Drosophila melanogaster: one gene and its partners. Changing the gene in region 4 together with the main gene of any one other region gives a genetic interaction. Each region holds a gene or a part of one and is shown on either strand. Other genes may lie near its edges.

The links.
Region 1: of fy (region 4) and mwh, changing one enhances a phenotype caused by changing the other (phenotypic enhancement), as found in Drosophila melanogaster (one study listed by BioGRID).
Region 2: of fy (region 4) and in, changing one enhances a phenotype caused by changing the other (phenotypic enhancement), as found in Drosophila melanogaster (2 studies listed by BioGRID).
Region 3: of fy (region 4) and Rab23, changing one enhances a phenotype caused by changing the other (phenotypic enhancement), as found in Drosophila melanogaster (one study listed by BioGRID).

The regions. Positions count from the first base shown.
Region 1 is NT_037436.4:1,198,998-1,203,856, forward strand, and holds the start of mwh (multiple wing hairs), read left to right. Parts: upstream 1-1,788; 5' UTR 1,789-2,318; intron 2,319-2,873; exon of another isoform or gene 2,874-2,916; coding exon of another isoform or gene 2,917-3,800; intron 3,801-3,884; coding exon of another isoform or gene 3,885-3,969; exon of another isoform or gene 3,970-4,039; intron 4,040-4,318; exon of another isoform or gene 4,319-4,405; coding exon of another isoform or gene 4,406-4,859. Other genes in the region: meep, read right to left, coding at 2,917-3,800, 3,885-3,969; CG9119 (uncharacterized protein), read right to left, coding at 4,406-4,859.
Region 2 is NT_037436.4:20,365,598-20,370,783, forward strand, and holds in (inturned), read left to right. Parts: upstream 1-1,600; 5' UTR 1,601-1,718; coding exon 1,719-4,328; 3' UTR 4,329-4,662; downstream 4,663-5,186. Other genes in the region: Toll-9, read right to left, coding at 27-321; CG13247 (uncharacterized protein), read left to right, coding at 4,915-5,152. UniProt on the Drosophila melanogaster protein: Plays a role in the definition of cell polarity via the planar cell polarity (PCP) cascade. Acts downstream of fuz and accumulates asymmetrically in wing cells to regulate planar polarity in the wing. Probably acts by regulating ciliogenesis.
Region 3 is NT_033777.3:5,679,548-5,687,280, forward strand, and holds Rab23 (Rab23), read right to left. Parts: upstream 5,888-7,733; 5' UTR 5,851-5,887; intron 3,441-5,850; 5' UTR 3,195-3,440; coding exon 3,075-3,194; intron 2,371-3,074; coding exon 1,684-2,370; 3' UTR 507-1,683; downstream 1-506. Other genes in the region: plx (pollux), read left to right, coding at 7,703-7,733.
Region 4 is NT_033779.5:8,400,917-8,404,916, reverse strand, and holds fy (fuzzy), read left to right. Parts: upstream 1-1,636; 5' UTR 1,637-1,835; coding exon 1,836-1,913; intron 1,914-1,971; coding exon 1,972-3,086; intron 3,087-3,145; coding exon 3,146-3,203; 3' UTR 3,204-3,439; downstream 3,440-4,000. Other genes in the region: emb (embargoed), read right to left, coding at 1-629; CG31898 (uncharacterized protein), read right to left, coding at 3,440-4,000. UniProt on the Drosophila melanogaster protein: Plays a role in the organization of cell polarity via a planar cell polarity (PCP) cascade. Involved in the development of the hairs on the wings.

The DNA of each region.
Region 1 (4,859 bases), on a different chromosome or scaffold from region 4:
TATCGGGAGTCAGTTGGGTCAGTTGGGTCTATTGTAAATCGGAGATAAGCAATTTGGATTGGTTATAGATATCCAGACCCTCCTGTAACCACATCCTTAACCTGGCAATGCACAAAATAGAGTGAGGCCAAAGTAATTTAGCGATCTTCGTGTAACCTTAGTTTAGTTATGCCAATCTTTCAGTTACCAGAGACTCAACAATATCGAACACCAGCTGCTACGTTTTGAAGTATTCTCAATTAAAGCCCAGTATAAGATGTGTAAACCTTTAAAGTTGTGTACACGCAGGCGAATATATACTGTATATGTATACAAAAGAAATATATAAAGAACCTATAAATCAAACTATATTGGATTATTGGGTGCTCAAGGAAGAAAGGTGAGTTTTATTAGTAAGAGAATGTAAGCCCTTTCATCTTATATTGTAGAACTTACCCAAAAGTATGCACTTAAGCTCAATTTATAGCAAGTTGATAGAATCCCGAAATGATGGTAGATAATATTTAGCAGCCTAAAAGATAACTTATAATTTGTAAAGTAAATTATTTTACACATAAAACATGTGAGTTTATCTCTCGCGGGAAATGAATTGGTGATTTGCATAAAATTACACGACAAGACAAGATAATACTAATCGGCTATATGAAGGCAATGGCCAATTGCAGTTTAGTTTTAAGATTAACTTGTGATGACTTGTTTTGAGCGGGCCATGGAATGGAATGATGGCCCAGAAGTTCCCATTCGGATTCCACATTAGTTTTATTTCACCGCACATTTACCAATGCGGATCTACGCCGGAAAAAGAAACAATCGCACATTAATGAAAACGCCCAGGGAGTGGAGAATAAATGGCCGAGCCATTAAAATGGCGATACATCAGTTAGCCTGGGGGCATCAATCATTATGCAATTTTCGCGAAGCCGGCCAGCAGCTTTGGGCCACTTTCTTCGGAGGTGGTTCAGTGAACGGGTTGTGGCGGTGGGCCTGGTCGGATCTGCCTTTGGGCAAAGTGCTCTAACAGGAGCAGCGACTAAGACTAACTAGTTCGTGTCGCTTTTAATGGAAATGGATACCCGAAGTAGCCTTGGCAGCGACTTTGGCTGGGTTTCGGTGTGGGAACTGGTTTCGGGGTTGGGAAAATCGCGCGGCACTCGCTTGATGCACTTGTCGACGTGCCCGGCCTCTTAACTCTATCGCAAATGTGGCCAATTAGAGATTAAACGACAATTTCAATTTAAAAACGCTTGTAAAACAGACCAGCCGAAAAGCCAACCTGATTTTCCTGAGCTGCCAGTGGCGGCAATGGACTTGTCAAACCGATTCGATATCTAGAGGGGATTGCCGATGCGTTTTAGCAGTCTCTAAATCAGTCAGTAATAAAAAAAATTGAGCTTCTGATTATTCTAGTACATTTTTAAATTCTCTATATCGTAAATTATAAAAGTACTATGCTATGTTCCTACTATCTATCGAATACGCATGCTATTATTCATATATATATTTTTTTTAATACTTATTTAATTAGGACACTCCCTTTATTAATTTACCTTGTGCAAACTGACAGAACTTCATTGCATAGATAGCTTCTGAAGCCGAAGCTCTCGGATAGTGACATCTTATCCAAGGGCTACCGATTCTCGAAGTGCATGAATGGATAGAACCGAAGCTCGTGGAAATCCCCCAAACAAGTTCGCTATCTACGCGCCTGAAGAGCAGCAGCTCCATGTGGAAAGCCACTCCGACCAGCAGCGGCAGTCGAGCCATCTGATCGCGGACTTCATTCAGTCTGCAACTCGCGTTTCAGCCAAGCAGACGCGGCTTAGAGCACAGTTAAAGCCAGGCCAAAACCGAAACTATAGCCAAAAGCCAAACGCGAAGCTAAAGTCGACGAGCTGGCGAAGTGAAGATCGGTAGAGTGGAGTAAATCAAACCGAGGCAGCTAATAAAAAGTGCTAATGGTGTGTTTAAAATATGAATAAACCGAGTATGCCTGAGCCACAAAAACGGTTACAACAACAACCAATGCCACAACCACAACGGTAACAATAACAAAAAGAGATTTTCTTTTTCGTGGGACGAAGAAATCGCATTTGCATTTCACCGCGCTGTTTGGTAGATTAAATTGGATCAAATCGAATCGATGGAAGTTCGGTGTTTGTTTGTGTGCTCGTCGCGGCCAAAAGTGTTGCTACTTTCATAAAAAGGTTATAAGAATCTGGAATAGTGAATAAATAAATGCAAATATTGGAGACCCGTTAAGCAGAGCCGCGGAAGAACGAACAATAGGATTTTGAGGGAGAGTCACCCGGCGTGAGTGGGTAAGTCAGTCAGTCTGTCTGTCTGTCCAAGTTCTGTGCGTCCATCTATCATGCCTTCACTACGATTTGTAACTGTCACAACAAACGGGTTGTTTTGGTTCAGCACTCCCGCCCGGCCAGTTGGGGAAATCCATAGGATCGTTTTACTGGCTGAATTCACCAATGCATTCGCTGTGTGCTCTGCATGGATCAAAGTTATTAAATAATTAATGACCAGCGGTGCAAAAAGAAAAACACAGATTGCTGCATGTTTGGGGCATTATTTACGGCCTGCTTAGCTAGACGTCCGTATCGCAGCTCTCATTAGGCCAAGCATGAAGCTCCAGAACACCCATCCCAGCCTCCCATCGCAGGTGCTATCCGGCCAGCTGGCTATACAGATCATTTAGCCATCGATTTGCATCTCGAAGAAAGCGGCTCGGTGGCTCTAATTTTTGGCAATTACATAAACCCCATGCCCTCGAGGGCCTGTTCCACAAATGATGCGGCTCCAACGAGCCATGAGCCACACTTTGGTAATCTGAGAAAACCAGACAGAAACCGAAACCATTTTCTCGAAGACGTTTATTTTTGGCAGGAACAAATGAGCAGATGAAGATCAATCTCTGCCCAACTGATCGGTCGCCACGGGTCTGTCCACACGGATCACTCTTTCGGCCACGTTCAGATAGGCCTCGTACTCCACAATGTCCGGCGTGGTGTCGTAGTGATAGTGGCCTCCCCAGTTTGCAAAGGAAAACGAGTGGAAGTGCTGCAGGCGGAGGTCCAGTCCCATGTCCTTGGTCACCAAGGTGCCCACTGCGTTTAGCTGGGCGGGCATTTCGTAGAACTTCAACCAGTTTTGGATCTGTTCCTGTGTGTGGATGGGCGTCTTGCTAAAATCTCGCATTACGTGCTGGTGGACACATCCCCTCCTGACCACGAACATTCCTCCCAAGCCCACCACCTGGTCTCCGTAGTGCCGTTCCAGACCCTTGCGAATGCATTCTACAAAGTTTTCCCCTCCAGTGCGCTGTTTTGCGGAAATTCGGAGCACTTGACCTGGTTTTCCCTCGCTGAGGAAGAGGTTCAGGATCAGAGCAGCACGAGATTCGGTTTCGGGAATCCTTTCGAGAACACAATCCTCATTCGCTCCCCTCACAGTGGCCGTGTAGCTTCCTTGAGTGAGTTCATCCTCTTCGTTTAGCGAGAAATTAAAGATCCCCTCGCAATTGGAGTGACGAATGGGCCACGGACCTGCTCCCGGTCCAACTGCAAAGATCTTTCCTGCTCCTTGGGTCCGCCGAGTGATCTCCTTCAGATTGTAGAGCTTATCTCGCTGCACCAAGGGCCGCAAATAGGGTGGCCCTCCTGCTTCTAGGAGAGTGGCCTTTCCGCCCAGTCCACGCTCCACAAGGCCAAACTGGGAGTCCCTTAAATCCGGGCAAGCTTCCACACTGACATCTACGGTCCGAAAGTTCTCATCCAGAGCACCCTGTATGACTGGAGAGCAGGTGGAAAGCTTTATTTGACGTATCCGCTAGATGAGAACTATTTTTATCAGCTATTCCACGCGGGAGTGCTCACCTCTTTTCAGTTCCGAGAGGGGCGGCACATGGAGTGGCCTCTCCTCAAAGAGCAACTGCTCCGTTTGAAGGTGACTCCCGTTCATGGTATCTCTGCAAATATTTCGGTACGGGTTCAGGGCCTTTCCTTGCTGGAGGTAAACTAGCGACTGACCGAAGCACCATCGTTTGGTAAAAATGTCTGTCATTCGAACGCCTGTCATGATAATGTTCTACTGATACAGGGCTTCCAATTTATAAAAGTATGTGGTTTTCTGGTTTGAGTTTCTATTAAATATACTATTTATAATGACCTGTTTTCAAAATAACAAAGTACTAACCTAGAGAAGTAATTTTAGATTTTGTAAATTTGGTTGGCCAGCTAGCTGATAAGCTATTTTAGTATTTGTTAAGCCTGACAGGGATTTGAGCAGATAAAAAGACTGTTTCTGTTTTCGAGCTTATGTTTTGTTTATTTACTATTATTTATTGGGGGTTGGGGCAATGGAAAAGTCGGCTACAACTAGATACGGCAGATAAGATCTAGTCGCGTCCCACTTTGTGAGTGGCCACGGGCTTATCCACCCGCACCACCCGTTCGGCTACGTTCAGGTAGGCCTCGTACTCAACGATATCCGGCGTGGTGTCGTAATGGTAGTGACCGCCCCAGTTGCTGAAGGAGAAGGAGTGGAAGTGCTGCAGGCGAAGGTCCAGGTCGTGCTCCTTGGTCACCAGCGTGCCCACGGCGTTCAGCTGGGCGGGCATCTCGTAGAACTTGAGCCACTCGTTCACCTCCTCGTCGCTGTTGATGGGCGTCTTGCTGAAGTCCCGCATCACGTGCTGGTGGGCAGCGCCCTTCTTGATCAGAAAAATGCCACCCAGACCCACCACCTTGTCCCCGTAGTGGTTCTCCAGGCCCTTGCGGATGCACTCGATGAAGTTCTGTTCGCCAGTGCGCTGCTTGGCGGTGATTTTCAACACCTGACCAGGCTTGCCC
Region 2 (5,186 bases), on a different chromosome or scaffold from region 4:
TATTGGACTTTATTGGATAGGTTTACCGTATTTCTTTGTGCTGTCCCTGAGGGTTCCGTTGGGAAACTGCCACCATATCACCTCGTCCTTGATCAGATCCAGCAGACAACTGTTCCCATCATCCGATTCGTACTTCAACATGAGGGATTTGAGGTCCGTTCTCTCCTTGCTGACCTCTTCGGCCTCTTCGCTGGATGTTGTGGCTGAATCTGGTTCTATTATCAAGCCATCCTGGATCGAAAACTCGGTGTATGCTTCCCTTACGTTTCCAAGGAACAGGCATACTAATACGATCACATCCCATATATATTTTGGACACATATTCACTGAATTGCGCACCTATAGTGCTTGTAATGGGGGATTATAAATAAGATTTGACAGCTGTTTGATTTCACAATCACACAGATAATCGCGTTCTATACAATTTTTAGCCACTCATTCAGTTTCACTGGGTATTCCGAAATCTAAGCCACATTTTGTGATAGTTAACCGCGGCCGACATTTCCCGCAAATCACTTTATTTGCGGCTGGGCGAAGCACACGCCTTGGATTCGCGCAATGGACTGGCTGGAGGACTCAGCTTGCTCCGATGGTCAGCAGAAATAATAGGTAGCTGCGGTACACATGTGCGGCTAATTCTGCCATGATACGGCTTATCAATTTTGGCAATATCTTCCCTTGAATGGCCCGGGACTATCAGCGTATCGCTTTTTCGGTGGCACTGGGCGTCCCGCTTCACGCCCACGCCATGTTCCTTATCGGATAATTATCTGGACGTCGGAGTACGGCTATTAGGCCCGTACTTCAATGGGATCGGTGCTCCGGATCAACCGATATAGCCACGGCTCGCTTTTGGCCAGCACATAGTGAGTTCAGTGAGACACAATTTTCTATACTACTCGATTGTTTGCAGATAGAAAAGTTTTGATTTACGGCGTCCAGTCCGGAGACCGATATGAAAAAAATCACTTGGAAAATCTTAGATTATCAGACCATCGGCGATACGAAAAGGTGGCCACTAAAACACCCGGGTCCACAAATGCCCAATTAATTATATCAATTCCCTTCATATCATGCATACACAGTTTATTGGCCGTAAAATAATTTATTGGGAGATAGGACTTCAGCGGTAGTCTCCTATGACAAATGATCATCGGATACCCATTGAGGAAGCAACATTTTACTAATCTTCCGCTGATTAACACAATCCTTATGATAGCACACCAATTTTGCTTTAAGTTCCACCAAATCTTCAATGCGACTTTGTGCAGAGTCAGCATATCGCAGACGGAGCTCTATTTTTATAAGGATTTTCCATGATTATTATTTATAACTTAATATCACGCTGAAATCAACTGGTTAGCAGTCCAATCGTTAAATGCGAACACTTATAAAAAGAAAAGAAATTGGTTATTGTATTATGGTAACTATACTTGTCTTAACCCACGGTGGGTTTTGAGTTTCCCCAGCTTGAAAGAGAACCAGATCACAAAGGGAGTGGATCGTTTCCCGCTGGAATTTGAGTGGAGTGGTATTGAGCTGGTCGGAGCCAGAGCTCAATTAGAAACTGGTTTTGAGTGCTGAGATCGGATCTCGGCTTTCAGTCGACATTCAGAGCTGAGCTGAGGCGGTATCAACCGGCGGCAGATAGTTGAGTGTGTACCTGGAATAGTAGGCCACTAATAACTATCCGCCCAGTTAACTATCCCCGGTAAACTATGCGCAAATCGCCGGCCAGCCTGCCGTCGGAGGCCTTCTCCAGTTCGAACTCCTCGCTGAGCAACTCGTACAGCGATGGCAGCGACCTGGCCAACTGGGAGGAGTACGTGTCCACAGACGGCAGTCTCTTCTACATGGAGTATGTGCGATGTGAGAAGACTGGCGTCTCGGCAGAGCGGCGGGTGGAGTTCATGCGTCGATCGCTGCGCCTGGGAAAGAAGTCGTCGCGTCGCCAGCCGCACAGCAATAATCAGAATCAGAGTCAGAACCAAAACCAGTCCCACGGCCCGAGCAGGTTGGATAGCCAGACGGAGCCGCAAGAGTTCCGCTTCTCACAGTTCAAGACGGCTGCCCCCGATCCCAAGAAACTGGATCTGGTGATCACAGCCGCTGATCGCTTCCGTTTCGGACGACGATCCACGGCGGTGGAGTCCATACTGGGCTTCCGGGTCCTGCCCTTTCCGGACCAACCAGAATGCCTGATGGTCGATGGGTTCGTTCACGATGTGAGTGCGCTGCAGCACGGCATCAAGCGGGGAGATTGGTTTAGATCCCTGAATGGCATAGAGGTGTACGCCAGCAATGTGGATGAGTTGCTCAAGCAGTTCGTGGAGCCCACTCAGGTGTGCCTAGGCTTCCAGTCGTGCGGTGCGGCCAGTGCAGTTTCGCCCACCGATCCGGGGTATAATCGAAATGTCCGCGAGGAGCAGGTGTGCAAGGTGGAGAACTTTCCCATGTTCACGGAGAAGTTTGAGCAGATGTTGATAACGGAGGGGAACTTCGGTATTCCCGGTAGTTCCGTGGACATAAGAATGCCCTTTGCTATGCTGCTACTCCCACCGGAGTGCTATCAGCATGAACAGCAACAGGATTCCCTCTACTACTTTCCGGAAATCCCCGACAACTTCCTATTCAAGGCCCGTGGGAGTTTCCTCACCCTGCACGCCGTACTCAGTGAACTGCACACCCAGCCGCTGAGTTCAAGGCTGCTGGTGGATCAGGTGCAATACCACGTCAACTACCGCCAACTGAATGGGTTCCTAGTCCTCTTCGCCTACGCCGGAGGACTCTGCTGTGCGGCGGAGTGCAGCCTGCGATCGGATGAGCTAATCGGATACATACGCTTCTCTCTGCCGGGCTTGGTCCTGGAGAGCTTTAATCAGGAGAGAGAGCCGGGGAATAGTTCGAGACTGAAGCTGTTCCTTCGACACTTTTGCGAAATCCAGAGAACCCGGCTCGTAGCCAGATGCCATGGTCATATTCGTTTCGAGGAGCTCCTGGGCCAATCCCGCAGCCTGCCACTGCCAAAGGAAGCGCAGCTGCGCATCTTTGATGCTCTGAGTGAAATGGAGGCCATGGACTATCGCAACTGGAACGACGAGCCACTCACCACCCATCGCGAGTTCTTCATCTACGGCAGTGCGCTGTACTACGATGGCTTCCTGGTGGCCAGCCTGCTGCCACCGGAAGTGAGGGTGAGTGTAGAAGGATTCCTGCGCTGCCGCGGAATCTTCGAGTTGCTCGGAGCTGCTCCGGGAATCAAAGTTCGCGAGATGTACGTGTGGGAGGAGATAGTGTTGCCCAGTGCCACAGGGCGATATTTCCTTACCATCTGCACCAAGAACCACTTGAGTCTGGCCGTGATCTTGAAGATCTTCGATGCTCCAGACATGGCGCCGGATGCGGTGGTGGGTCCATCGCTCTTTTACATCGAGGAGATTCAAGAGACGCTGGACCACCTAGTACAGTGCGGCATTGAATCCCTGGCCATGTTCTGGTCCGTTTCCAATAAGAGACCCGAGGTGCTGGACGCCACTGCCAGCGAGAGTAGAGATCAGGAGAAGGAGCCGAACAACCGACTGGAGTCCTTCCTCAAGCAGAAGCTAACCGTGCTGAGTCCTTCGGTGGAGGAGGAAGCCCAACTGTGCTCGTCCCTGGGTGGGTCTTCCATACATAGTCTGACTCCCAGTGAGGACGAGTCCTGTCGCAGGCGATTGACCCCCATCCATGGTACTGCCGAGGACTCAGACAGCGGTTCCGACTGGGAGAACTTCGCCGTACAGCATCCACTTCACTATGGACTGAATCTCGGGGCCGAGAGCCACAGTCAGAGCCAAATGACAGAGTCCATGTGGAAGGAGATCAACAACGTGGTGCCGGTCAAGATATCCGCTGGCTGGAAGAATTCCGTTCTGCACTACGTCTACATTGACATAGCCAATGGGTCCTTGTTTGCGCCATTTACCGACAGCTCCGAGAACTCCAACTACCTCTCCGAGATTCGTCAGGCGTGTCACATAATCCACGCCGTGCTGCAGAAATCCAAGCACTATCGCAGGCATCTATCGGAATCCTCGAGAGCACAGACGAACTCGAACGGGCACAGTAGCCACACAGTGTCGCTGGTCAAGGAGCACGGCATGATCCTGGAGGTCAGCACGCAACCCAAGTCGGACGGGCAATCCCAATCCTCGACGAGCAGTCGCTTCGTGGTGGTTGGTCGTCTCTTTCAGTCGCCAGCCAAGGAAGTGTACGTGTGTCACCGGTCCGATGTTCCCCAGAACATAGTCGAAATGGCCTTCCGGTTGTCCTTCTTCTCAATGGGATGACATCTTGGAAGGATACTACCAACTTAGATACTGGCTATGCGTAGAATTCTTGCTATAATATAAACACAAATATTTAAAATGTGGTTTTAACTAAACAAATTACTTTTATATAGGCATTCAAACAATTTTTTAAAATTATATTTAAGAATGCATAATTAATCATTTTCAGCAATTCTATTACGAAAGCATTTGATTTAGGGGAAGTGCAATTTTGTATTTTCAAAATTCGAAAAGCGCAAGCTTGCCAAAACTCTAAGAAATTGAAAAATATGTACATTTCCTCTGAAACGCAGCGAATAAATATGTATGTATGAAGGTATTTCAAGAGGAACACAAACATCGTGCGAATGTGTTTCATTCATTCATAGTTCGTACTAGAGAAGCCATCAAAAGTGTACACTATTTTTAGAGTTTGGTGGGAGGGTCCCATTCTAAAAGTAGTTCCACGCACCAGAAGTCAAAAGACACGCCGACCAATAAATCCACGTGAACGAGTGGCTCAAGGTGGTGCTCCCCAAATTGCCAATTTCCCAAGATTCGTCGACAGTTGTGTTTGGGTGTTTCAACAGAAGAGGATTCTTGGTGGATGGATATGATGACAGCTACGTGGATGCTGTGTCTTGTTCTCTGCTCCACGGCGATGGCGACGGAGGAGGAATCGGGCAGTGGACTGTTCAACGTCACCGGGAATCCCTTGGATACAGAAGCTGCTCCAAAACTGCCCAGCGAAGTGCAGAAAGCTGTTTGCACTGTGACTGCGGGGGAGGTGAAGGCATCTGCCGAGGCTGTCACCACAAAAACCCTTAAGGGAGTGTGTGGATCAGGTGGGTGGTCAGTGGTCTCTTGCCCGTTTGATCT
Region 3 (7,733 bases), on a different chromosome or scaffold from region 4:
CCCTGACCCTCCAGAAATCGAACTTTCTACTCTCTCTCCTTGCCTATATCTAAGATATTTTGATTTTTCGACTTTGTGTAAATAAATAAGAATGGAAATTGACGAATAGTTATTTATGCCTTTATTAATACAAGGAAACACTTGAAAATTACAACAAAATAGATATATACACATTTAATGATTTATGCGTTGCGAAGCGATAGTTTTTCAACGCGCATTGTAAATATAAAGAAAGAAATATTATATATTTAAAATAGTTTAAACGATTTAAATGTGGAAACGTTTAAACGATGGTGTAACAGAAGCGGATCGCAAAATTGTCAAGCTTACAAAAAAAGTGTAAAATCAAAAATCAAATAAAAAATGGTAAACATTTCAAAACTACGACTGCTGTTTTAACCCATGACATCTTAACCCATTATGCTACTTTAATTTCGAACCCACTTCATCAAATTCCTGCCCGCTGACTTTCCAAAAGTGAATCCCAATTGCACAACAATCGACTTAATTTACATAAAATAATTTATTAAGTAAACATATTAATGGATCATTACATGCATAAATAGAATATTAATGGGCTTAGGGTTATTTATTATTTATTAGTTATTTCTAAACTCCTATTCGGCTTACATGTTACATGCTTCACGAGTTTCACTGTGCTCTATCTGCAGTTTTTTGCATAGAATGCGAGCAGCACTGGTCTACATGAATCGCGTCAAATTGCGCTCTGGCATGACTTGCAATTAGTTAATAATTATAAAAGCTGAATGTTTAATTGCACATTTGGCCAACGCGAATTGGCAAAGGGATTTCACATGGACCTGTGATCTGGGCTTGGTAGCGTGATAAATAGCCTTTTAATTCTGCTTGGTTAGGGAGCTAACCCCTATATACAAACATATTCGATATGAAAGCAAAGTTGCTTCAGTCTCCGTTATAGAAAAGCGGGCATAATACATACATACAAATTTGATTTCGTATCTATAACTAATTGTGGAAATTTTTGAGAAACTGCCAGTGCTCGTGCATATTGTCTATGGTTTCGAGAACTCATCATCTACCCGTGCAGATCGGGTGCTATGGTTTTGGTCTAATGGCTCGTGTGGCCAAGTGAGTATTGGGTCTGTATATACGTTCTATATATGGTAAATATAAACAGGAGTATTAAATAGTTGCAGTTAAAATAATACACCGAAAAGTTAGCTTATTCTATGGTGTCTTAAATGATTTGGGTGTTTCTTATAATTTTCGTGTTCAAGAACAATATCCGGCATAGAATTTAAATCTGTATATTAAAAATCGTAGTTTTAAAAACCAAAGATGAATACATTTTTGTGAGATATCGGAACCGGCCCGAAAGATGGTGAAAACTTTCCGTTGTGCAGTGTAAATCAAATATTTAGTTCCTCAGTTCGACCGCAAGGGTATCTCATCTTCGTGGGGATCCAGAAGATCCAATTTGCTGCCTCCGATTATTTTTTCTGTTCCGTAAGCATGTCTGAACCACATCACGCGGAGTCTGTGCACGACTAGTGAATGGCTGTGGTTGCATCCAACGGTTGGCTGGCCACCCGGCCACAACATCATTAGGCTCCAAAATAATTAGGCGTTAAATATGCTCCAGATATTAATTGCCAGCCGAGTCGCCCCTGCCGCCATCTAACCAGCTAATCCGACAACTCCTCACAATATTCCGCATTTCTTGAGCACTATCTTTCGCTTTCGGGCCACGCTGGAGCCATGGCCCTTCTTCGCCGGACGGAGGACGATGGTGCCGCTGCTGGACTTTGTGAAGGTCGGGCTGAAGGCGCTGATCGTGGGCGTGCTGCTGTAAGGCGGATGGCTGGAGTTTTGCTGGTTTCCGGCCACCTGGTCGTAGCTCTGGGTCATTAGCTGATGGCACTTGGTGGCCAGGTAGCGAAACACGGACGCCACGTTAATGTCCTCCTTGACGGAGGTGCGGATGAGCCGGCAGTTGAGGAGCTTGGCCAGCGTCTCCACCTCGTCGGCCGTAACCACCGCCTGTTCGATAAGATCGATCTTGTTCTGCACAATCACTGTGGGTATCTCGTTGCACTCGTTCTCCACCTTGCGCTTCCAATCCTTGATCGCGTCGAAGGATGCTCGATCCGTCGTCGAAAAGACCAGGACGGAAGCCTGGGCGCCGCGGTAGTACGCCTTTGTGATGCAGTCGAACTCCTCCTGGCCGGCGGTGTCCCACAGCATGATGCGCACATCCTCGCCGTCGATCTCGATCTGTCGCTCTAGGAAGTCCACTCCAATCGTTTTCTTGTAGTCCTTCGTGAAAATGCCTTTGCAATAGCGCTGGATCATTGATGACTTGCCAACGCCGCCATTTCCAACAATGACCTATGGAAAATACCAGAGTTGTTATTAGTTCATATTTCAAAACAAAAGTCTTACGTTATGTTTTGCTATTTCAATCATAAGCAAAAAAGCGTTTTGTTATTCACCAGAAGGAGAGAAAATTAACTGTTCACAATATTTATGTGCTTTCTACTGGACATTTAAAACGGTTAGCCATTTAAGTTAATTAAGCGCGTAAATGTCAATCAAATTTGGCTTGTCTGCAGAAAGACACATTCGGAAATAATCATATAAATCAATTTGAAACAATTCCAGAAAAACCATTAGAAACAACTTTATTTAGGGAGAGGAGAACCCTAATTGAACTAGAATCTTAATTCGTGCAGTTTCGCCATTAGCAACAGACATTTCCATCGGATTTTATCTTACAGGTGCCATTCACAACACTTGGCGAGGGAAAATTACACAGAAAGTTATTATTTAGAACTAGTTAGAAGTTTATAAAAATATATAGAAAAACTATTAGATGATCTGATGCTTTAACATATGGAAGTTGATTAATATACTAATATTGGAAAGAAGTCATTCCATTTTGGGATATGCAGAACTCTTCTTGATACGATATATAATCAATTGTATATGTGGGTTTGGTTTAATAGTAGCCATCTTTTTTTCTTGCAGTGCACTCATTTCAACCATTCATCATCCGAATGACAGAGATTCACGCAGCCGGCTGGGCAACTTACCACTTTAATGGCCAGCTCGATATCATCTTCACGCATGCTGGTGTAGTTGTACTGCGCCTGGGAGTGGGTCTGCAGAACGGACGCAGCAGCACCGCCGGTTGCCGTTTGGATTAGACGCATCTAAGCCGGCAGGTGGGCCGCCGCTCGCCCAGGTGTTTGATTGTGGCTCTGGCTCCAGCTCCAGCTCCAACTGCAGCTCCTGGCCAGGCAAATCGGTTGGAGGAGCACGAAATCTCAATCCGCCCAACGCAAGTGTGTTCAAATGTGTTTGTTTGGTTAGCCAAGTTTTCCGCAGCTTTTCACTTTTCCCCCAACTTTGTCTGAATCTCGTTTCACTTTCTACGCATTGATTTCACCAAATTCGATCTGTGGAAAAAGAGAAAAATCCAACTATTCAGCGACATCAGTTTTAACATACGGCAAGTGCTACAGTCAAACTTCGTTAGCTTGAACTAAAGAAATATGAAGTGAAAAAGCAAATTTGGGGGTTTTATTATTTGATTATATATTGGAACAACTATCCATCTATTTTTATAAACCTTTGTTTTCTGGAGATATCTTTGCTTTAAATTGAAAAGGCGCGAGAAGTTGTACCAATATTTCGACTCAAATTAATTTCCCTTCCCGAAGCTTGACTGTAAATGCAAAAGGTTTTCTTTCATTTCCACGTCAACCGGTTTTCAGCGCTGTGTTTCTCGCTTCTTTTGGCCAAGTCTGTTTTTCGTTTCCCCTGTTTTTCTTTCTTGTTTTTCTCTGTTTCTACCGACTGGCCCAGGGGCCACCGAATGCGGCTTCTAATAAGACGCAACACGAACGGCCGGGCACGCACGGTTATGTTGTTCAACAACAGGTGCTTCCACACACCTTACGCACAGGTAACAGGCGGTGGTCGGGCGGGGGGGGGGTGGGATTTTGGAGTTGGGCGGTGGTCTGGTGGTTAGGTGGGACGACAGGGGCCAGTGGATACTGGTCAGCAGAGAGATGGAGATGGAGCCCGCATGACATTAGTATTCGCATTAGCGCGTGCTTATGAATTCTTTGAAAATTGTGCTCTTTCTTCTGGCCTTTCCCCCGTTTACAGTTGCTTACTGCGGCTTCGTGGGCGGACGGCTGTGCGGCTAAGTGGGTTCGGAATATATATGGAGGGTAGATACAATATCTGACCAAACGGATGGGGCCCACTTGGTTACATTGTGTTCTAAAGGAGATATATTCGTTTCGTAAGCAAATTAGCTTGGTTTCAAGGTTCTCAAAATAGATCGGAAGCTTGGTGCTCGAAAAAACAATAACAAACCAATCATCAATTCGGGTTGGATTCATCTAAGCTTCGAAAGAAGCATTAGATATATGTATAGCCTACAGCGTTTCCCAATTTTCTCTCAGTTTTTCAATAATAAACGAACCTTTTTTGTGTAAAATGTGGCTGATATGAATGAATTTGCGTGAAATTCTCAAGATTTTATTGGCCTAAATATAGTGATCTGCCTTCGAAGGTTACAAATACAACAATTAATTAATTCCCAGCAGTCTTTTCTGAGCTCTTTCCACACAGTCGGCATTCCGCACTAGACGGACAGGTAACACAGGATTTGTGTTTTCCATTTTCTCCACCGATTCTTTCTTAACCCAAACCACCACCTTTAACCCACTGTGCAACCTTTCGCTCGTTCTAATTATGCCGCGACTTTTTTCCTACAGCTTCTTCTAAAAGGTTCATGCTATTTTCGTTGACTTTTTTGTAGTTCATTGTCATGATAATTAAGGCCACCGGTTATAGATTTAGTTCAATAGCCATGTGTACACTTAAAGATTTGTTCCACAAAAGAGAGCACCGATCCTCAGATTGTTCTAATCTTGAGCCTGTGAGCAACCATTTGTTTTCTGCACAGGCTGTGGAGTAAATTGCGAATGGAGCGCCGCGCTGCAATTATCTTTGGATTTGCCCAAGGAACTGATAGATCGGCGGCCGTTTTCTTGGCCATTGTTGTGGAATGTGGATTCTAACTTGTCCATTTAGGTTCACAACAGCACCAATACACCTGCACTCGGCCACATGCATGCATGCCGTGCACGGCTGCACACCCCTACACATGTGCACTTGTTGTGCTGCCGCTGCTGCTGCAGAGGAAAAACGGATTTTCCAGGCTTGCAAGTGTGTGTGTTCGTATGGGGAAAATTATGCAAATGCCGAGCGCTACTTAAATCAATTACGAGCGCGAATTCCTCATTATTTAAATCATGATTAAATAGTTACTCGCGCATTAACGGTACTCCGCACAGTGTCGCCCTCTGCTTCTTCTGTTTTTGTCTGTTTTTTTATCTCTTGCCATATTTTTCATGGCTCTTTTACTGCCTCTTCTCACTAAAATCAACTCAAAAGTCTACTGCGATTGTGTTTTCTGGGTGAGAAATAGACGAAAAGAAGTTTCGAGTGCGAAAACGCGAAGCTCGCATTCGAATCGCAGCTTGGGATCGCACAGAAAATCGTAAACACGTTCGCAGCGGAGCCCCTCTTCTACTTGGCCAAAACTACCAAGCAGATAAAACGGCTAAAGCAGCTAAATTGGAGCTAAAACAACGACGACAACGCGTGCGAAGCGCCTTAATTAAAGACGAACGTCGCCTGGGATCCCGATCTCTGAATTGACCCGCAGTGAAAGTCAACTTGCACACACGATATACACCATGGTTTATGGTTTTTGCCCCCGGCCGATTTTTTAGGGCGCCAAGTGGGAGAAATGCGCTGCACTGCGAACCGGAATGCCAAAAATCGCACCTGTTGCTCGTCGCGATCGAAATTTGAATGCCAAGCCTGGCTTGCTGCGAGCAGTGCGACCATGGCGTGCGCAAAGTAGTTTGACCAGCGTGGATGGTCACACCAGGCGAGCTTCGATGTGAACGGGTTTGCTTTTATTTTATCTGCACGTCTCCAATAATAATTTACGAGCGGAGAATGAAACATATATATACATCCTCCCATTTGACTTAAAGATTGGTTACAAAATAAATAAATAAGTAATAATTCATTGTCCAATGTGCATATAATATTTAGTTATTAAAGTAAGTACATACTATTATTGAGTGCTTTGAATAAACATGTACGTGAGAACACTTTGCATTTAAATTTTAAATTTGTAGCGCCTGTTATTTACCTCTACCGTCCCTTTGCAACACTGCTTCCCAGTGGCTGGCACTCGCAGAAGAAGAAGCACCTGGCAATCAGCTGTTCCAAACGACAAGACGCGCATTTGTTTGACTTTCAACGGCGGACTCGAAAAAGCGCAAATTGAAATGTGTTGCCGCAAGATTTGCGCACCAGTCTTGTAAGGGCCAATTGCGGCTATAATTTCATCGCCTTTGCTGACAACCCACTTGGCTGGCAGCACGCGCATGCTCGGCAATCGCGATTTATCGGCCGACAGGACGAAGGACGAGACGTAGAGAAATGCTAGGCATCGCGAATTGGAGAAGCGGCAGGAACTCGACTTTCAGTGCTCAGTGCTCAGCGGAATTTGGTGGCATTTCAACGTGTTTTCGGGCGCACCAATCGCCAAAATCAGTATTTATTGTTGCACGCCACCATCCGTGTGTGTGTGTGTGTCGCGTAACGGCGGGTGTGTGAGTGTGTGTGGCGAGGGGCGGCGAAAAGGTATTGGAAACCTTAGAAAGTAGAAAGTTAAAAGTGCCAAGTTAGTGCAAAAGTAAATTCCGACATTGGGGTGACTGCCGTCTCTTTTTTCGCAGTCTGTCTGCTGGTGGTGGCTCGTCCTCTTTCTCCGCCTCCTGCTCCTCCTCCTGCCTCTCAAGCCCATCCTCCGTGCCCCCATCTTCCCATTCTTTCTAAGGCAAAGAAAAATCACAGTGCACGCTCGATAAAGGGAACATGCCAACAGGAAAGTACGTGTTTTGAGAATCCTTACATTGCTGCCTTAATGGTACTGTGAATTTAAAGTTCTTACTAATATTACTACAGTATTGAAACTATCTTTCCTTTGAGAATCTAAATAACTACTTTTGCTTGCCAGTTAACTGTAGCGAGCGCGCACTGTGCATTTTTGTGAATGTGTGAGCCATGAATATGTGAAAAACAAAGACGGCACTGGCTGCGAATAAAAATCAATATTGATAGTAATTTCTCGGATGCTCTCTGCTCCTCCGCTCCTCGAGACCTTCCCACAGGAAGCGCAGTCAGGTGGTCATTGTCCGCTCCAGCGCCCCGGCTGCCCATGCTCCCATTTCCCATCTTTCCCATGTTCCCACTTGCCCATTTTCCGCACTATCCGGCTGCTTTGCCGCCCCCCTTTTTGGGGGTGATTCATTGGGCGCACGAAGTCAGAATTCCATCAGCGACGACTCCCTTCCGCCTGGGAATGTGGAAACGCGGTCGCCATTAAATATTGATTCGATCCTGGACTGCAGCACGCTACGTCAGGAAAACATATACAAAAACGATTAAAGAGCAATTTGCAAAGCGGCCAATAAAATGCAAAGTAAATAAATGGGCCGCAACTCAATTTGACCAGCAATTTTAACAGTTTATCGTTCGGCGAAAGTACACACGCATAAGCCACACTCGAAATTAAATCAAAGTCAATATTGCAACTGAAACAGAAACTGGAACAGTGAAGATGAAAACGCGCCTCGTCTCGCTGACTTTCC
Region 4 (4,000 bases):
AGCACGAAGGAGCATAGTGTAAAGATCTGAGAGAACTCCGAGCACATGGTGTCTTTCAGGTGCTTGGCCTTAGTCTGCGTGATCTGACCCTGCGAAAAGTCGAACACCTCCTCACTAAGGTTCTTCAGGATTACCATGTTGTTCATGCACAGGCTCTCGTTCGTTTTCGACGCACCGACAATGTCACTGATGAATGTCTCCCAGTTGCGTGGCCATTCGCGCTTTAGAATGTGGACCAGAATCATGTTTAGCTTATTCAGATACACTTTGTTCTGCTCCATAACAATGGGATCCGACGAGGTCTTGATGATAAGACTGACCACATACTTCTTGATTCCCTCGCACTGGTTGCGCGGCAGGACCTTCCAGCGCGTTTTGATGACCTCCTCGAGGATTTGCAGAGCATAAAACTTGGTCCGCTGGTTCTGTGAGTACTCCAATATGCTGTCCACCCGCGTCCATGCCTCTGGATGCTCCTTCAGCGTGGTCAGTATGCTCTGGGCTAGACGCAACTGCTCGCCCTGCGCTGTGTACACAACCTCGACGATCTTGTCCAGCAGATTAATGTCCAGCTTCTGGGAGAAGTCGAGCAGCTTGCCCGCCTCGTCCGATGTCAACATTGTCGCCATCGCTTTGTAGTAGAAGCGGCGTTCGCGTCGGCGTCGCTCTGCAGTTGTGTCCGCGTTAATTTTGATAGCTTCTTGGCTTCCTCCTCCGCCGGATGAGCTCGGATCTCACGTTTTTTCCCTTTGGATTTCTTGTTTTTGCTGTTTTTTTTTTCCACTTTATTTATCGAAAGTGCGCGGCGGCTTCTGCTTCAGCTTCTTCTTCTTCGCACTATGATGACGGTGAGGAGCGGCGACTCTCGATCTGGATCGGGATCTGGATCTGGTGCCGGGACTGGACCTGAAGCTGTGGAAATAAGACCGTTGGTTATACATATTGCGTACTTTTACGCCTGTCGACAGGCAACCATATTTCTTTTTTGTTTTCTTGTTTCATTTTTTTGGAACACACAACTACAAGCGCACGCTGTTGCCTGCGCGCGCTACACTTTTTCGCACTCGCACACATACAAGCGCTCGGCACACCACACATACGCACACACTGGCACAGGCGAACGCATCGCCGCCGCAAATGCGACAAGACTGCGGCGGCATTTCCCAAATTTTCTTAGCTTTTCAAAACGCGCCAGCGAGGACGCAGTGTGTAATTAATTAACAATCATGAACATGTAATTCACATATCAAGCTTACCTTTTACCGATTCCAGAAAAGAGCAGCGTGTGAAAACGACGACGACGGACAATGCGAAATGCAATTTGTGAGAACAGTGTGCCCGTATGGTGCTGAACAAACATACGTCCACAGCCCTGGTCTACAGGCATGCACGCAAAGTGATCGATAACGTTGATCGAATAAAATAATCAAATGGCATGGATGAAGATGCTTAGTTTGTTGGCTTACTTACTGCCAGAAACATCGATGTCCCTGATATCGAAAAACATCGATGTTTTAAGCAGCGATGTTTTAAAAAAAAATACAAAAAAATATTATCTGTTTAATTTAATGGAAAAACAAACCAGTATGCATGCATGCATAAATTGACATAAATATATTTGAATTTGATCTGTTCTCCTGAATCAGCTACAAAATACTGCATCTTACTGATTTATTACATTAAAACACTAAAAGTATGCAAGTAATTCAGATAAAAGTTTAAAATAAATCATATTAATTTACTAGTGCATCGCTTATTTTCGATAATTCAAAACGAATCGATTTAATCGATGTAAGCATCATACGTAGCAGGTTCGGCGAAGAAGAAGAGCTGCGATGTCCATCTATTTGTTATGTTTGACAACAAACGGCGGATTGCCAGTGTTTACACGAAAGAAGGGAGAATGCGAAAATGTAAGAGTAACATATTGCCTACCTATTCACTTAGTTAATACCCTTTCTCCATATCCAGCTGCCCTTCTCGACGGTGGCCTCCTTAAACGGCTTTCACATGTTCTTTAAGTCGCTGGGAATCCAACTGGAGGCCACGACGACCAGCAAACAGCAGCCTATCCAGAATCAGGCTCCCGCGGATGCCGAGGAGTGGACTTACATATGGCGCGACCGGGAATCCATCACCCTGATCGTGTGCGGCTGCGGTGTTGGGTCGGAGCAACTGCTTCAGACGCTGGCTGATCTTGTCTTTGGAGCGATAGGCATGTTCATTACCCGGGCCGCAGAAATGGCACATGCAACGCTCCTCGATAGACTGAAGAAGGACGCCAAGAAGTATGTCCCGATTGTTGACGCTATTCTGGAAGCCGCCTGTGCGGGTACACAACTCCTGGGCTACACGGACTGTCTGCTGGCGGCGGAAAACGCCCAGCTGCTGCAGTGTCTAAATGAATTTAGTGGCCACTGTGGCTCGCTCTTTTGCTGCCTGGTTGTGGGACACCGTATCGCTGTGGCCACTGAGGGCTGGTGGGATCTGGACACTCGGGACCGCGAGCTGCTGCTGTTTCTGTTGAATTCGTCGAGCACAATGCAACACGATGTGCCGGTCTATTTGCCCGTGAAAAGTCCCCATATAGCCTACCGCTTTGTCAGTATTCCTGTGGCGTCGAACAGTGCTCTGTGTGTCCTGTGTGGCGCTGAGAATGCCTCGTTCCGAGAGTTGCATGCACATGCCATGAGTGCCTACCGGAATGAAGGCAACCTTTTGGCAGCCGCCGAGCGATGCGTGCCGCGCAGTCTGCCCGAGCATCTGGAGATCGATGGAAATGTGCTGGCCATCATTCTAATTAACCGACACACGCGAAAAAGTCTCTTTACCAGAAATCTAAACCAGTCGGCGAGTGTCAAGCGCATCATTGTGGGCGATCTACAGCGCTTGGACATTCTAAAGAAGTTTTTCGATCAAACTATGGATGCAGTCCACCAATTTGAAACCCAGTCGTCCAGCAATAAAACTACGTTAGTGGACCAATATAGCTGCTCGGACTACCACAAGTGCTATGCCCATATGGATGAGCTGGGCAATGTCATATTCTTGTTGTTTGTGGCAGCGGTGCCCTCGCACGCAATGAGGTGCGATTATAATTATTTACTTTGATGACAAGGTTTTAAAATCAGTATTGTATTTACAGATTCCTTGCGCAACGCATCCATGCTAATATACTCCAGGAGAAGTCAGTATGTTGGTGATACGATATTTCTTTCTAAGCCTAAAGACTGATTTTTGTTACTACTTTTCCATGAAATAATGTTTTTTTTTAAATGACATTATATTTAACGAACAATAGGGTACAACTCCTTTTCTAAAGTTAAGCGTAATTTTTGACAAATCTTATATGTATATGCTACATACTAATATGGCTTTAATGACTTACAATTCCGTCCTTACAAATACTATTTATATATTTTAAATATACAATATGTCCTTATCCTTTTATTACAACATTGTATGGGCGACAATAGACCAGTTGTTTCTTGTTTAGCTCTAAGGGCTTTATCCTTGGATCCAGAAAAAATTGTACTATAGATCCAACTGTAAGTTGTGTGGTTTCTCCTTTTGGAGGAAGAATATTGAAACTACGTCCATTATCGGAAGCCACTAGGGCAATGGTAACACCATACTGGTTTGTAACAGACAAAATTTTAGCCGTGTGAGTGGCTGCATGGTTTTTAAGTTGACGCTGATCCATTCTTACTTTTTTGAGGACTTTACGGAACTCCTCAGCATAGCCTCCTTTAACACAGCGAGGGTTTGCCTTCAAATTGACTCTATTTTGGCTACTTGGCAGATACTGCCTAGGACTTTCACTAGGAACAAGTTGAATAGCTGGAGAAGATTCGGTATAGCTATCCTCGGTCAATCCAGAGCAGTTAGATTTATTCAGCGAGCTTTGACTTAACGATTTCCAAGAAGTTTGGAATGAAGACGTTGGCAATCGTTGAGGAGTAGGTGGATCAGAGTCAATGTTCTCTGACGACCCGTTGCA